Zea mays: one gene and its partners. The protein of the gene in region 1 binds, or shares a complex with, the protein of each later gene. Links are inferred from orthologs where the notes say so. Each region holds a gene or a part of one and is shown in the gene's direction. Other genes may lie near its edges. The genes, in order: 50S ribosomal protein L4-like; 50S ribosomal protein L34-like; 50S ribosomal protein L24, chloroplastic-like; 50S ribosomal protein L31-like.

What was found.
Region 2: 50S ribosomal protein L4-like (region 1) and 50S ribosomal protein L34-like share a complex: the UniProt entries of both Arabidopsis thaliana proteins name them as parts of the 50S ribosomal subunit. The link is inferred for Zea mays from reciprocal best matches to the Arabidopsis thaliana genes RPL4 and AT1G29070.
Region 3: 50S ribosomal protein L4-like (region 1) and 50S ribosomal protein L24, chloroplastic-like share a complex: the UniProt entries of both Arabidopsis thaliana proteins name them as parts of the 50S ribosomal subunit. The link is inferred for Zea mays from reciprocal best matches to the Arabidopsis thaliana genes RPL4 and RPL24.
Region 4: 50S ribosomal protein L4-like (region 1) and 50S ribosomal protein L31-like share a complex: the UniProt entries of both Arabidopsis thaliana proteins name them as parts of the 50S ribosomal subunit. The link is inferred for Zea mays from reciprocal best matches to the Arabidopsis thaliana genes RPL4 and emb2184.

What each region holds. Positions count from the first base shown.
Region 1 is NC_050096.1:38,266,282-38,270,537, forward strand, and holds the start of 50S ribosomal protein L4-like, read left to right. Parts: upstream 1-1,395; 5' UTR 1,396-1,421; coding exon 1,422-2,328; intron 2,329-4,256. Other genes in the region: Peroxisomal nicotinamide adenine dinucleotide carrier, read left to right, coding at 1-89. UniProt on the Arabidopsis thaliana protein: This protein binds directly and specifically to 23S rRNA. May play a role in plastid transcriptional regulation.
Region 2 is NC_050098.1:192,686,065-192,689,746, forward strand, and holds 50S ribosomal protein L34-like, read left to right. Parts: upstream 1-1,180; 5' UTR 1,181-1,206; coding exon 1,207-1,456; intron 1,457-2,728; coding exon 2,729-2,988; 3' UTR 2,989-3,132; downstream 3,133-3,682. UniProt on the Arabidopsis thaliana protein: This protein binds directly to 23S ribosomal RNA.
Region 3 is NC_050100.1:50,135,649-50,140,014, reverse strand, and holds 50S ribosomal protein L24, chloroplastic-like, read left to right. Parts: upstream 1-1,566; 5' UTR 1,567-1,623; coding exon 1,624-1,752; intron 1,753-3,188; coding exon 3,189-3,227; intron 3,228-3,315; coding exon 3,316-3,543; intron 3,544-3,678; coding exon 3,679-3,861; 3' UTR 3,862-4,047; downstream 4,048-4,366. UniProt on the Arabidopsis thaliana protein: One of two assembly initiator proteins, it binds directly to the 5'-end of the 23S rRNA, where it nucleates assembly of the 50S subunit. Required for optimal plastid performance in terms of photosynthesis and growth.
Region 4 is NC_050098.1:221,939,925-221,942,788, forward strand, and holds 50S ribosomal protein L31-like, read left to right. Parts: upstream 1-1,508; 5' UTR 1,509-1,566; coding exon 1,567-1,656; intron 1,657-1,762; coding exon 1,763-2,065; 3' UTR 2,066-2,358; downstream 2,359-2,864. UniProt on the Arabidopsis thaliana protein: Binds the 23S rRNA.

The sequences.
Region 1 (4,256 bases):
TTAAGGAGGAGCTGGTGAAGGGTGCTCGACTATTGGTAACTGGTAACACTAGTCTGGTTAAGAAACTACCATCAAAGTCATCAAGATGAACTACGGGCATCGCAAGCGTTAGTATATCATCCTAAAAAGCCATTTATTATCCGCATAAACCGTAAACAAGGTCGACAAGCTATAGAGCTCGCCTCTGCTTTGGATATGTCAACTGTAGGTTACACAATAGCCAGTATGATTCACGTAGGGACCAAAGACTATGTTGGATAGATATTTGTATCATTCATGTAGAATGTATCGTGGAAGATCGAAACAGAAGAAAATAAATAAGTATGATAATTTGAACTTCGGCCATCTGCTCTAAACTTCTGATTTCCTGACTTGCTTTTACCTTATGGTTTGTGCAAGGGTGGCAGAATATCTGGAAAAAAAAACTATCATGAGAATGCAATCCGCAGTCATCTATTCAGGTTTCTTGACCTGCATGACTTTGCTTGTTACCTTGTCGGTAAGGAGACGCGTGCAAGTTGGTTATCATCAGGAAGCCAAGGGAACGTAGAACTTCTGATTAAGGCTGTGCGCAGCGGTCACCGCTAGCACTCCCCCTCCCCTTGCATGCCGTCTGTAGGGGGCACCCTACGGCCGCAGCGGTGCCCCCTACAGCGCCCCCTACGCGTCGGCACCCTTCTATCTCCCCCCAGATCTAGCGTGTCACTGTTCATCACCCTAAACACTGTGCTGTGGGTCCACGAGTAATTGTTAGTAGATAAAAAATTAATAGTTGATATAGAAAATGATATTTTATAGTTGTAGTGGGGTATAGGGGAGTATTTAGGGGGAACCGCTGCGGGAGATGAAAAAATAGGGAGAAAAATAGGGGGGAAAAGTGATATAGGGGGAAAAATTTAGGGGTAACGGTTGCGGATAGCCTAATCCTTTTTACCTAGAATTTCTGAAGATTCGTTTTCACCCTTTATCTATCCCAGCTGTGCTGAAAGCATTGGGCACTTGCAGTTGAGTCTGCAGGTGCAGCTGACTTAAGTGCACAGGCACGGTTTCGTCTCCTCCCGTCCCGTGTCAACCAGTTTTAGCAAACTGCAAGCAAATAAATTCACTTAACACGGCAAATGCCCTTTCATTACTTGTAATATTAATGGATTTTTAAGGAAAAATTACTCAAACTTGTGAAGTGCGACTGCGACTAGCCGACTCGGCATGAGACCTGACTCGGTGACTCCTGAGACAGTTGACAGTGTGCCTTCTTGTGGCGTTGGCAAGTAGGGACTACGAGTCTGTCTGGGGAGGAGTGGCCGAACCGAACGGGTGGATAACAAAGGGATAGAGAAGCGGCAGCTGCAGAGGCAGAGCGTCAGAGCCATCGTCCTCGCCTCACCCCGTAGTCCCGTACCTAGCGCAGCGAAGCCGGCACAATGCCAGCCGCCGCCGTAGTCTCCCCTCTCCTCCTCTCGCTCTCCTCGTCCTCCTCCCCCTTCCTCTCTTCCTCATCCACCTCCTTTTTCCCACCCTCCTCCGCTGCCGTCACTCCACACGCCGCCGTCAGGACGAGGGCGGCTGTCTCCGTCCTCCGCGCGCTGCGCGCCGAGGCGGCCACCCTCCCCGTGCTCTCATTCACCGGAGAGAAGGTCGGGGAGGTAACCCTCGACCTCAAATCCGCGCCACCCTCCACCGCGCGCGCTGTCGTGCACCGCGCTATCATCACCGACCGCCAGAACGCGCGCCGAGGCACGGCCTCCACGCTCACCCGCGGCGAGGTCAGAGGCGGAGGGAGGAAGCCCTATCAGCAGAAGAAGACGGGGAAGGCGCGGCGGGGGTCGCAGCGTACCCCGCTTCGTCCCGGCGGTGGCGTCGTGTTCGGCCCCAAGCCCCGCGACTGGTCCATCAAGATCAACCGCAAGGAGAAGCGCCTTGCCATCTCCACTGCCATCGTGAGCGCCGCCAAGGACGCCTTCGTTGTCGAGGAGTTCGAGGAGGCCTTCGCGTCGGGGCCCAAGACCAGGGATTTCGTGGCCGCTTTGCAGCGGTGGGGGCTTGACCCGAAGCAGAAAGCCATGTTCTTTGCCACGGACTTCGACGACAATGTGCGGCTCAGCGGCAGGAACATTGGTTCCCTCAAAATGCTCACACCCAGGACGCTGAACCTGTACGACATACTCGACGCACGCAAGCTCTTCTTTACTCCTGCTGCTGTAGACTACCTCAACTCCAGGTACGGAGCCAGTGTTTCCGATGACTACTATACTGATGACGAGGATGATGGCGAGGAGGAACTGGTCGAGCAAGAAGCAGAAGAAGGCACCACAGCAGATGCTGCTCCAGGTACATAGCTACAGAGTATGCTTTGCTGGTTGCAGTGCGCTGCTTGATTATTCCTGTACTGGCCATATATGGGCTCTCTGCTAGTAACTGCTATCCTTCAGTTAGTACATGTCTCAACAGGTTGAAGGAGAATAGCAAATGGTAGTGCTACGAAGCAGTAATGCCGATTGGATTGAATTGCATCACCATTATTTTGGGGAACATTTTATCTACAATGTAAATTTGAATGGCATAAAACCACACTACTCAAGGACCAAGACATGGGGTTTGAATATCGGTTTTGTACAGGACTATGTTTTGCTGAATAAAAATGCACCTCTTACCATATTTCTCATTTTTCTAAAAGAGAGTGGCAGGAGCTCTGCCTTGCATTGAAGGGAAATAAGATGGTTTTGTCTGAATGGCAGACACGCCTCAACATAAAATAGGACAACCACAAATTTCATGAGAGAGCCAACCTGCAAAGAAACAAAAACAAGACACAATTGTTGTGGCGGCCAATGATGTCGGTGTCACGGCGGGAGAGGGCGTGGTCGACCGTATGGAGACAACTGGGGCAGTATTACACCGTGAAGTTGAAGCCGAACAACTTGCTCACCCACTGGTGCCGCAGGATCGTTGAGAGGCGTTGATCAGGCAGGAACTTCACGCTAAAGTGGTTGGTGCAGATGAGTAACCGGCGCCCCCAGAGATATGGGCGCCAATGACGCACGACTTGCACCAAGTCGATGAGCTCTCGTTCGTAGGCGGCGATCTTCTGGTGTCATGGCACGAATGGTCAGCTGAAGTAGGCCAGTGGTCCTGCGCCCTACTGAAGGATAGCGCCGAACCCTATGCTCGTCGCGTCACACTCCACGACGAACAAGGTATCGAAGACTGGCAGATGGAGGACCGACACAGTGGAGTGTGCGCGCTTGAGTGCGGTGAAGGTCGTCTCAGCCTTCGGTGACAAGTGGAAGGTGTCCTTCCCTAGCAAGCTGGTGAGTGGCGCCACGATGAGGTCGAATTCCTATATGAACTTCCTGTAGTACCCCATAAGGCCCAGGAAGGTGCAGCCAAGACGTGACGGCCTCCACCTTGTCTCCATCCATGGCTACGCCATCTACGGAGATGACGTGCCCTAGGTATGCGACGGACGTCATGCCAAAGGAGAGCTTGCCAAAGAGGGAGTGTGCATGGAGGCGTCGAAAAAGGCGTGTTGCAGATGAGTTGACCACGAGTCGTTGTAGATGAGAATACATCAAAGAAAACAAGGACAAACCAACGGAGTAAGGGCTGCGTGACTTCATTCATGAGGCTCTAGAATGTTGCCTGCGTGTTTGCCAACCCAACTGGCACCAACAGAAACTCAAAGTGGCCATGGTGGGTGTGAAACACGGTCTTCTCGATGTCGCCTGTGTGCATGCGGATCTGGTGGTACCCGGAGCGTAGGTCCAGTTTTATGAAGAAATGGGCGCCATGGAGCTCGTCAAGGAGCTCATCAACGACGGGGACGACGAGGATTGGGAACTTGTCCTTCACCGTGTAGTCGTTGAGGAAGCGCAAGGAGTCGATGTAGAAGAGCAAGGAGTCATGCTTCTTGACGAGGAGCATCGATGTGGAGAAGGTCGACGTGCTAGGCTAAATAACGCCCTAGACCAGCATGTCGACGACTTTGCACTCCAATTCGTCCTTATGGACCTACGAGTAGCGGTAGGGTCGGACAGCGACTGTTGTCGTGTCTGGCTGCAAGTGAATGCAATGGTCACATGCACGAGTTGGTGGCAATCCAGAAGGCATGGCGAAGACATCGATGTTGGCGAGAAGATCGTCAAGGAGTGGTCGCGGCTCAGGCAGAATAGTGTGGAGGGCTATCGACGTCGTTGCACAACATTGAGAGCCGACACCCTTCCAATGGACCTGTTGACCCGTGCGCCCAAAGGCCATGC
Region 2 (3,682 bases), on another chromosome or scaffold:
GGAGATCTTGGTGTGATCCTTAGAACCGACCATCTATGGGCCGATTTTTAGCAGGTCTAGACACCTAGTCCCCAGCAGAGTCGCCAAAAGTATGTTGACACCTTTTTCGGGCGCCAAACACTCAACAAGAACCGGCGACGGTGCTCTCTACACAGGCGCAAACGGTTCGCGCCCAGGGGCCGGACGGTCCGCGACCTGACGCAGGGCTAGGGTTCCCTGCCTGACGGCCGGACGGTATGCGCCCTAGGGGCCGGACGGTCCGCGTGTGCGCAGGGGCGGCGAAAGGTCGCCGGCGGCGCCTGGATCTCGCTCCCGGGAGGGACCCCGTCGGGGAGGAGAGATTCTAGGGGTTGTCTAGGCTCGACAGGCCGACCTAGATCCTCTAATCGACATAGAGTCGAAGAGAAGCGGAGAATTTGGGGATTAGAATACTAAACTAGGGCTAAACTAGAACTAGACTAGAACTACTCCTAATGCATAAGGTAAAAACGAGTAATAGACTTGATTTGATCGATTGTTGGGGAGTTCAATCGGCCGTAGCCCTTCATCTATATAAAGGGGGAGGTCTGGATCCGCTTCGAACTGATTTCCGAGTCAATCCCACGGTTTTAGATAACAAATCCCATGAGAAACTAGGAACCCTAACTGACTCTGCGCACGTGCGGACCGTCCGCGCCACCACCGAAGACAGTCCGGACCGTGGACCGTCCGCGCGGCCCCTTTTGGCTTTCAACAACTGTATATGCTCGGACTTAGAGCTAAAGATCCAGAAATGAGGAAGCAATTCTTCAAGCTTTACCATGATACAGTTTTGTAAACATTCTTAATCTTTAAAAGATGCTAACAAGAGTATAGGACAACAATTAATGCTTCTGCATTTCAACGTATCTTATCTTAACATATTTTACTCCGTAGCAATGCACGGGCATACAACTAGTATCATTGTAAGTTTTATAATGGAATGAAGCCCTCTAATTAATGGTAAAATAGCGAAACTCACTTTTGATAATGGCGCAATCCTAAATTTCTCCGTGAGGAACCGGGATTCTCCAGGGCGGAGGAGGGGATGTGTGGGTCAAATGTGCACTAGCCCATAGGAGGCCCATAAGGCCTGTCTCATCAAGCGTGGATAAGATAAAATAAAACAAGCACCAGGGACAGGGAGTGGCTAGACCGCAGCAATTGCGATTGCGAGTCCTCCAAACCATGGCGCTCGCCCTGGCCTCTCCAATGGCGTCTCTCTCCTTCCACTCCGGGAGGATCTCGGCGGCGTCTATCGGAGGCGTCGGCCGCACTCGCAGGGCGGCCCCGGTGGGCGTATCCGCCTCGCCGTTCCTCCGGAGCTCCTTCGTCTCGTCCTCCTCCACGTCGTCCGCCTCCGCCTCCGCCTCCCCCGCTTCGCTCGCGGCGGCTGTCTCGGCGTCTCTGGCATTTACGTCCTCCTCCGCGTTTGCGGGTGAGAATGTATCCTGTAATCCTTTTCTTCCTGTATTCGTGTGCTAGCGTTTGGGCGGCCATTTGTTTTGGTCTTTATTTGGGGAAATTTTGTGGGTAGTTTGCTTACTAGTAAGCTCGTACGGGGAAATGACATTAAAAATTTGAAATTATGACTTCATGACCGTGTGTTGACGATAGATTTGCAGAATAGGATGTTTGACTTGCTAATAATTCACTAATAATACAGTAAGCTGGTATCAAGAGGGTGGAGTTTTGGAATAGTTTGTTCTTTGTTGTTCATTACTCTAGTAGGGTGAAGAACAGTAACTGGGGATTTATGTTGTTTTAACGTTTGAACCGGAATTAATTACACTCACTTCATCTATACAAACAGAAATAAGGGTGTCCTAACTAATTCTTTGAAAACATTGAAGCTTGTGTGGTTGGTATTATAAAAAAACCAAAAATTCAGTTAGTCGGGCATATTAATAGAGAAGGACTAGATACACCAACATCGTTGAAAACAAAAGAAAAATGCTCACGAAACGAAGCGATGGCAAGACAATCACCAAAATAATAGTACATCGCCAATAAAACCATCAGAGCATTGGCAATCAGAACACGCCCTGATAGCCAAACAAGATATGGGGTGGGGTTCATATGATGCCTCCAAGGAGGTAAACAACATCTGCAGGTGCCGCCATCGATTATAGAACCTATGCTTTTGAACCAAAATCCCCTTAGGGTCTAGAGACCTCTTGACAATGCCTACAAGGAGGAGTGCGTCACCATTGCTGGCATCAACAGAAAGCCGAGCGTAGCTTTTGTCGAAAATCTGCTACCCCAAAACCCACACCTTGTTCCTGCAATGGCAAGGAGCCCACCAACGGCACTGCATGTTGTCATCCACCAAGTCTCAAGATAAAGTCATTGCAATAGCATTTTCTTTTGCTTGACAAGAAATCAAGATTTAAGAAGGGCTGCATATGACAGGACTATTAACCAATATAGTGAAGATTATATAACACAGTTGAAGCATAAACGCTTCCAAGAAACTTGATCTCAGGACTGATAGTCTGATACTACGACAACACTTTAATCACACTCGACTTTTCCATTACCTAAAGCAAATCCCAAAGCTCCTAAAAGAAGCACGACAAAGTTGAATCCAACAAACCATTTAAGCATTGTATAACAATCCAAACACAACCAGATAGGTATTCACAAATCAATGATTGTGAGTGCATGTGTGCCTTCGTTGTTCTTATACTTATAGCATGTTCTATGCCAGGTTCATCTTTGGGAATCGAGTTCAGCTACAGTATAATGACAACACGGAGATCCCGTGGTATGCAGATTAGGGCTGGAAAGGCTGCCCTCTGCATGACCAAGAGGTCAAGGTCTAGGAAGTCACTTGCCCGTACACATGGTTTCCGCAGGCGGATGCGGACTACTTCTGGAAGGAAGGTACTGAAGCGCAGGCGCGCCAAAGGCAGGAAGGTTCTTTGCACAAGGACAAACTCAAACAGTGGGAAGAAAAGAATGTTCTAATTACACTGCAATTTGATGTGCTCGCAACTGTAAGTGTAATGTCTACTTGCAATCTTCTAAGCCGCCATCTATGTGTAACAATCATGTAGCATCCTATTCCTGTTTAATTGGTTAAAAATATCTGGATCACCTTCTGCTTCCAAGGTTTTATTTGGTGTATGAATGATATTTTCTTATGAATATTTACTCTTCCCTAGTGGGCCTGAACCTGCGTGCAGTATGAAGGAACACTTGAGAGTAGATACCGTCGCTGTTATGAAGTAGGATCTCCTTTTACCCTGCCCATATTCCGTTATGAATACTGAATCTTCCCTGTTGGGTCTGAAATTGTGTGCAGTAGCATCGTTCGCTATACTGAACTAGGATCTCCTTTTGCGTTGCAGGGATAATCAGTTAAACTATTATATACTCCGGTTCCAATTTATAATTCATTTGACTTTTTTACACTAAGTTTGACCATCTCGTTTTATTTAAAAAATCATAATTATTGTTAAAGTTTACTGTGGTTTTGATTAGCATACAATATACTTTAAGTATGGCTTTGGATTTTTTTATTTTTTCAAAAAAAAAATTGAATAAGACAAACCGGATTTACCTTCATTAGCTGATGATGAAACTACTTACCCGTGCGGCCGTTTGATCCTTGCGCTACTTAAATTCTCTTTTCGATGGAGAGAAAGAGGCCGAAAGGACT
Region 3 (4,366 bases), on another chromosome or scaffold:
CTGAGCTAGTGAGCTTCACTTGTCTTGGAAGCCCTTCCAACGTGCGTCTCTACTAAGTAACTCTTGTGGAGGCCACAAGGTGCAAAATCTCTATCACAGTGGGCAAATTAATCAACAACCGAAGGAAACTACTTGACATGTCTAGCTCCGAAACCTGTGAAAAAAAATGGTCCACATCTGGAGTGTCGCAAGCAAGTAGAGCTTTGCCCAGACAGATTGAGTTTTGCCCAGCACTCCAGCATCCATGCCTTAAAAGGTTATAGTTAGAAAGGGGGAGGATTGCTAAGCCCTTGCCAGTTAGCCACATAGAGAGAAGGCCTTATTATTAGATCATGCCATTTCTTTTCTTACAAAATTAACAAAGTGCAAAGCATTACTATGGCCACGAGGAACAGATAGCTACGAAATGAAACTGTCGCAATTATCATGGAAAAAAGCCACACATTTCCTTATCCATTTTGTTTGGTAGCGCCACATAGAAACAAAACTTCATGTCACGATTTGCATAGTTATCTCAACACATGTGGCGAATAGAAAAGGAGAAAGAGAAAAATAAACACAAGATTCTTAACCATAATAAGATATAATTTGTGTCGGGCATTTGCATAGTCACATGCTTATCCCATGGGGAACGTTAAAGGTTTGCTTGCACGGCAGGACCATTCCTGATTCCCTAGATGGTAGTTAGATGACGGCGATAGGAGCCGAGGCCCAACTGCCCAGTGATGTATTGGCCGTGTTGTTTATGTGATCTGTCATGGATGTCCTACTATGATTCAAGGATTTAGGACATGCGCAGAACTGCCAGCAATGAAAAGTCGAAGAAAGAGATATTGACTTCGAGGGGGAGAAATGTAGTCCACTATGAGAAAAGAGATACCCAATGTCTCTGGAGAAAAAGATCTGAGGTAAACACGTCTAACTTGCAACCATGATTTGCAATAGAGAAATCCGATTGACATCCCACCCTTTCTCGGTGCAGGATGGGACCTGCAGCAGCAAAAGCGCAAAGCTTCGATGTCACCGCCATCCACCTACCCTCCATCGCCCAAACTGTCTCTGTCTCTGTAACGCGAATTTTATTTTACACAACAGCAAAGTGAAAAACTGGAGTAGGGGGTTCGCTTGCCTCAGCAACCGTCGCGTAGCTTGCGCGCCTCGGCGCTGGAACGGGGAATCTGGAGGCGGGCACGCATCTCCCAAGCAATCTCGCGTGGCCTCGCGTAGCGTGCGAGGAGACACGCAGAGAGGGAGGGAGAGAGAAAGAGAGCCTTGACCCCGCCGTCCTCGTCCTGTCGTCCTGATAGCTGATGCAGTGATGCTGATCAGCTGATGCGTGCGGAGCTCGCTCGTGGAGCCGAGGCCCTAGCCTGTAGCCTCTCACGGCGGTAGAACGAGCACCCATGGGCCTCACTGGATCACCTAAGCGTCTTCCAGGCCCATCTGTGCCTCACCTGAGGCCTGTCTCATTTAGTGACGAGGCCCAACCCACCAGCGTCAGAATACAAGAGCGCGTTATCCTCTCTCTTCCGGTTCCGGGCAACTCGAAGAAGCCGCGTGCGTTATCCTTTGAGCAGTTTGGGCGCTGAGCAAGTCCAGTGAGAGAGGGAGAGCGGCGAGAGGATGGCTGGGATGGCATCGCTGCAGGGCGCCATGGCGTCGCTCTCCATCTCCGCGCTAGGCGCGGCGACGGCGAGCAGCAGCAGCTTCTGGGGCAACCGGCTCGCCACCTACTCCGCGCCGCAGCCTGGGGTCTGTTCCTGCTTCCCAATTCCGTTCCGTTCTGCTGATGGTTTGGTAGATAATAAGTAGCTGTTCTGGTGAAAGATTTTACTCTGGAGTTTCTGGATAGCGTTGCAAAGCGCGGTCGGATGGAATTGTTCTAGGGACATTCGAGCTTGCATTACGGTTTTGGAGCTAGTCTGTATGGATTGGATGCAATGAAATGGAAAATTACCTTTGCATTGTTATTAATTGTGCATTTTCAAGGATGACAAACCAGGCTTCTAATATGACTATGTTTAGGGGTGTTTGACATCACTCTAGAGCAAAACTTTAAGGAAGACCTGGACAAAGTCAACTAAACACCCTAATTCTAGAGTTGCAAACTCTATAGAGTTTTGAGAGTTGTAGTATAATTTTTTGGAGTACATTTTTTGCTACTTTGAAAAATCCTTCAAAAACAATCAAGACACATCCAATGCACTGGTTATGAGAAAGCAATCTACACTTCGGAGCAGATATACTTCACCCAAAGTTTTGGAGTAGAACTATGCCAAACTCGCCCTTATTAGATTTCATATTACATTAAGTTTCTATTTGCTCCACGACACACACTAAATTTAGACCGTGTCCATATTGAATTTCGTCTACCTTCTTTTTTTATTTTTATCTTGCATGGAAGCTTAAATGGTAAGATTTGAGTGCGCCAAATAGATTAACTGATTGGGATTAATTTAAGTAAGAGAATTTCCTTTGTCATTGGTAATCCGGTATTGTCCTTTTTGCATATACAACTATGCACATGTTTGCCTTTTAGTGCTAATAGAGAGTATGCTGTGTTTCATGTGGTAAAATTTGTTCGAGTACTCTTTATTTAGTTTGTTAACTGAGGAAATTATGTTGCTTTTGAAGCGGTCAAAATGTCAACTGAAGAAATTATGTTGCCCTCAATGTGCCACTGATTTTGTTTATATATATTTATGCCTGAATTACCCCACATCACACAATACATATGACTAACTGGAAACAAAATTTGGCGCCAAATAGTGTATTATGAGCATAATGATGTTTGTATTTGAACCCTGCTTTCTTTTCTGTGTCATCTTTATTATGCCTTACCTGTATGTACTTGTGCCTGGAAAATTCCCAACTGATAAGAATCGGATGAGGATAAACCTTTCTGTTAAGAAGCAAAAGCAAGTAAAGAATAGATAGTGAGGTCAAGTAATCACTGTTGAAGGAAGTGATAGAACCACTGTATTTTAAGGGATATCGTATTACTCAAACATAAAGAGGAGCCCTGGATCCTGTAGTGTCTTGATCAGATCAACATGAATCGTAACCACTGTGTTTGAGTCATGCCATATCTCAGAAGCATCTGATTAGTGTCTCTTTGATTTGAAATGGAATCTTATGTCTTTAGGATGTGAAGTTCTGACAAGCTGTTTAATATGTTCAATATGCAGGTAAGGTTTATGGTCAAGATATGCCCAATTGAAATGAGAGTGAGTAAAAAAAATCTTTAGTCCAAATATTTGATACCTTTTTTATCCAATAATGTGAAATGTCCTAAAACTTCACTTTCCACTGCAGCTTAAGAGATGGGAGCGAAAGAAGTGTAAACCAAACAGTCTTCCTGTGCTGCACAAGATGCATGTTAGGATCGGGGACACGGTACAGGTTATTGCAGGCCGTGAGAAAGGAAAGGTTGGAGAAGTCACACGCCTTTTCAAGCACAACAGCACGGTGATCGTGAAGGACCTGAACTTGAAGTCGAAGCACAAGAAAGGCACAGACGATGAACCCGGTGAAATCGTCATGGTCAGCAAAATTTCTATTGAACTTGTTTTTTGGGCCTCTCATGATGCTTTGCACATATTGGTTTCAAGAGCATATCTGTAGTTTTAGTAGGTGCCTAATCGTTCTCTTGATCAGACTTAAATTTTCTTTGATCAGATTGAAGGCCCCATTCATAGCTCAAATGTGATGCTCTACTCTAAGGAGAAGAGTGTGGTAAGCAGGGTTGGCCACAAATTCCTGGAGGACGGGACCAAGGTCCGATACCTGGTCAAGACCGGTGAAGTAATCGACAGTGTTGAGAAGTGGGTAAAGGTTTTTAAGGAAGGAAATTCGGAGTAACAGTTTTAGCATGAAAACCTGCAAAATGCTCTGAACGCTGACTGCGTCTTGCATGTTGAATTGAGCCTGTTTATCCCTCTATGTTGTTATTTACGCCAGTTTTTCCCCCTGTAAATTATACAGTTGTCACCAAATCTTGCAACGCAAGTCAATGCGCATCAGCATATGCTGATCTTGTTCCGCTTCACCAGTCAGAGTTTTGGATGAAAAACTATGAGGGCATGTTCGGTTACAGTAATCCAGAGGGGGATTGGAGGGGATTAAATCCCCTCCTAGTCATTTTTGACTAGGAGAGGATTTAATCCCCTCCAATCCCCCTCTGGATTGGTGTAACCGAACAAGCCCTGAACGGGCTTGTATGTGCGGGCAGCCCGTGTTCGTTTGCAGCTCTGGACCCACTACTCTCGGTCTCGTCCTCACTTCCTCAGAAATATCCACATATATCATTTCCTATATTACAAAGGCATATTACAAAGGCGAAGTAACCTGTGCACATGAAGCAATA
Region 4 (2,864 bases), on another chromosome or scaffold:
TCTGATCTAGTAAAAAGAGCTAGTTATAGCACCAGATCATCTACTTGTTCTCTCCATTAGTCCAAATCTTACAAATGTTAAGCAAACTTCTACCGGTGAAATCGATCAGAACATACTTTTTTCTATTGGACATGATAATATACGATGTATGAGCTATAATAAAGCAAACAATCATAGTTTAGTATGAATTGCAGCAGAACATCGTAATTATGATCGACAAACATTGTTATACTCATACAACATGGAATAAATCTTTGTAGATGTAGTTAATCGATAAATAACAAATATAAAATTGCACCTATCAAAGTTAAAATATATGAATACTTAGCTAGATCTATTATCAACAAGGCATAATGAATAGAGATAGCCAAACAAACCAAAGTTAAAATATATGAATACTTAGGGCAGCATGACGTACGAATAATGATATACCAAAAGGTGATAGAAGAGTATAGTATTTAGTAAGAGCAACTACAATAGTTATGTATAATAATAATACCTAAATCCTAGATATAGCAAGTTCTCATATAATATAGGGGAAAAAATCATCTCATCCAACATTTCTCTATCTATTACTTTCTAAATATGTTAAATTTTAATTAACATGACGCTAGTTTGAGTAGGACCATTAGTGATGACACATTTAATTGGTGAGTTATGTTGGCTTTTTTATTTACTATCACAATTGTTTATTCGTTTATTTCTAACATGTGCACGTGCGGCTATTGCATTGGCAATTGGTTAATCTCTAGTTGACTACCTGCCACAATTTTACATCGTCGGCGTCCGACGAATGTGCTCTGTTAATATATCTCTACTACAAAGTGAAAAAACACCAAAATACAAAAGTTATCGTCAGTTTTTTGTTTAGGAAGTTGATAAATGGTTGCTAAATGTAGGGAGAAATTGAGATTAGATGAGAAGTAGCTAAATTTAGAAAATTCATTTAAGAGAGTTGTTGGAGATGAGTTTTTAGTTTAGCTACCTAAATTATTTATTGATTTAAGGAATCTTTTGGAGAACTACTAGAGTTGCTCTAATAGAGTTGCTCTAAATTATTTAATTTTATACTCTTAAGAAAACCGTAACAACTGTAATTGTAGTTTGCATATCATTCCTTAATTATATTTAAGTCAGACTCTACACGGCATGCAACTTTCTCTTCTTTTGGCCCACTAATTCAACCAACCATCTACCAACACTTTCATTTCTGGTGGTGTACTTTCTTCGACGTTACATCTATGAAAGAGAATTTTGATCCGAAATGTTTCGATAAATAAAAAACCGCATAGCTATACCTCTTTAGTATAGCTGGCCGCCAACTGGAAATAACTGAAGGAGAAATTGGGCACTGGATTTTTCGTGGGCCGTCGCATTTCCACGTAGCCCAAAACAAACCACAGACAGACTTTAATGAACATATAGAGCCCAAACAAGCCTAGACAACGCTACCTAAAGAGAGAATCGACGAGCGCCAGAGGATAACATTAGCAAGGCGATAGATAAGAGGAAGGAAAGAACATAGGCAGCCGAAGCGACTGTCGCGAGGCAAGGCCATCGTCCGCCATGACGCTCTCCCTCTCCACCTCTTTCCTCCCCATCCCCGCCGCCGCGAGGACCACCGCCCGCACCCTACGCTCCGTCGTCCCCTCCCAGGTACGCACGTTCGTACACACCGGCCCTCCCTCTCGCCATTCCTGCACGGATCTTCGTCGTCGCCGCCGCTAATTCCTGAGTCCGGAACCTGGACGGCGCGGTGCAGGGGATGCGCTGCTCGATGCGCAAGAAGGGGTTGCACCCGGAGATCTACGAGGACGCGAAGGTGTACTGCAACGGCGAGCTGGTGCTGGTGACGGGGGGCACCAAGCCGGAGTACACGGTGGACGTGTGGTCCGGAAACCACCCCTACTATGTCGGCGACACCTCGGCGCTCGTGGTCATGGACAGCCAGATCGAGAAGTTCCGCAAGAAGTGGGGCCACATCAAGGAGTACTGGCCCGAGGACCAGTGGAGGGAGATGCACCCAGACGGCGACCCGGAGTTCGAGCCCGAGGGGGACAACTGATTGATGGCTCCCCGTCTTCCTCACCCGGTGCGTGGTCACCGGTCCAGTTTACATTTGCCCTCTTGAATGGAATCGAGACTCTGTCTGTTCGCATTGCTCTCCAGGTGTTCGGTTAATGTTCGGAATGGAAAATGTACAATTACTACTACTTCACGAGATAGGGTCTTGTTGATCATGGGCCCCCAAATACAATGTGCTTTCTGCAATGCACTCTAGGGTAGGATGGTATTGATCAAACAAGCAAATGATCCTGGTTCGAGGAAATGGATATTTCTCACTAGGAGTATACGCTGATGCTTGACTACAGCTTGAGTCGTCTGCTGATAACCTGATACCGCATACTGTTTGATCAAACTAGCCTCCTGTTGCTAGGTGATCCAATTTCCGAGTCATAGTTTTATACAACCAATTTTTCCATGCGACTGAACTAATTGAGTGTCCATGTGTTGCATGATATATAAAACATGTCGTGACATACGGCCATATGGGTGGAATAGAATATTTGTAAAATCTCATGCCATTACAAACAATTAGCACCAACATATAATTCAAGCTAATTTCTATAAAATAAAACAAAATGACTATAATATTATTGGCTTAATCTAGACAAAAGAAAAGTAAGTAATTTTATTTTGTTATTAATAAACCGTTGAAGATAATATCATACACTAGCTCTGATTCACTCTATTTCCTACGTTGATAGAAAATGTGGCGGAAATAAGAATAGATAGCGACAAGCAAATAGATACTCCCTCCGGTGTTATATTATTTGTCGTTTTGGATAATGTTCGAGTCAAAC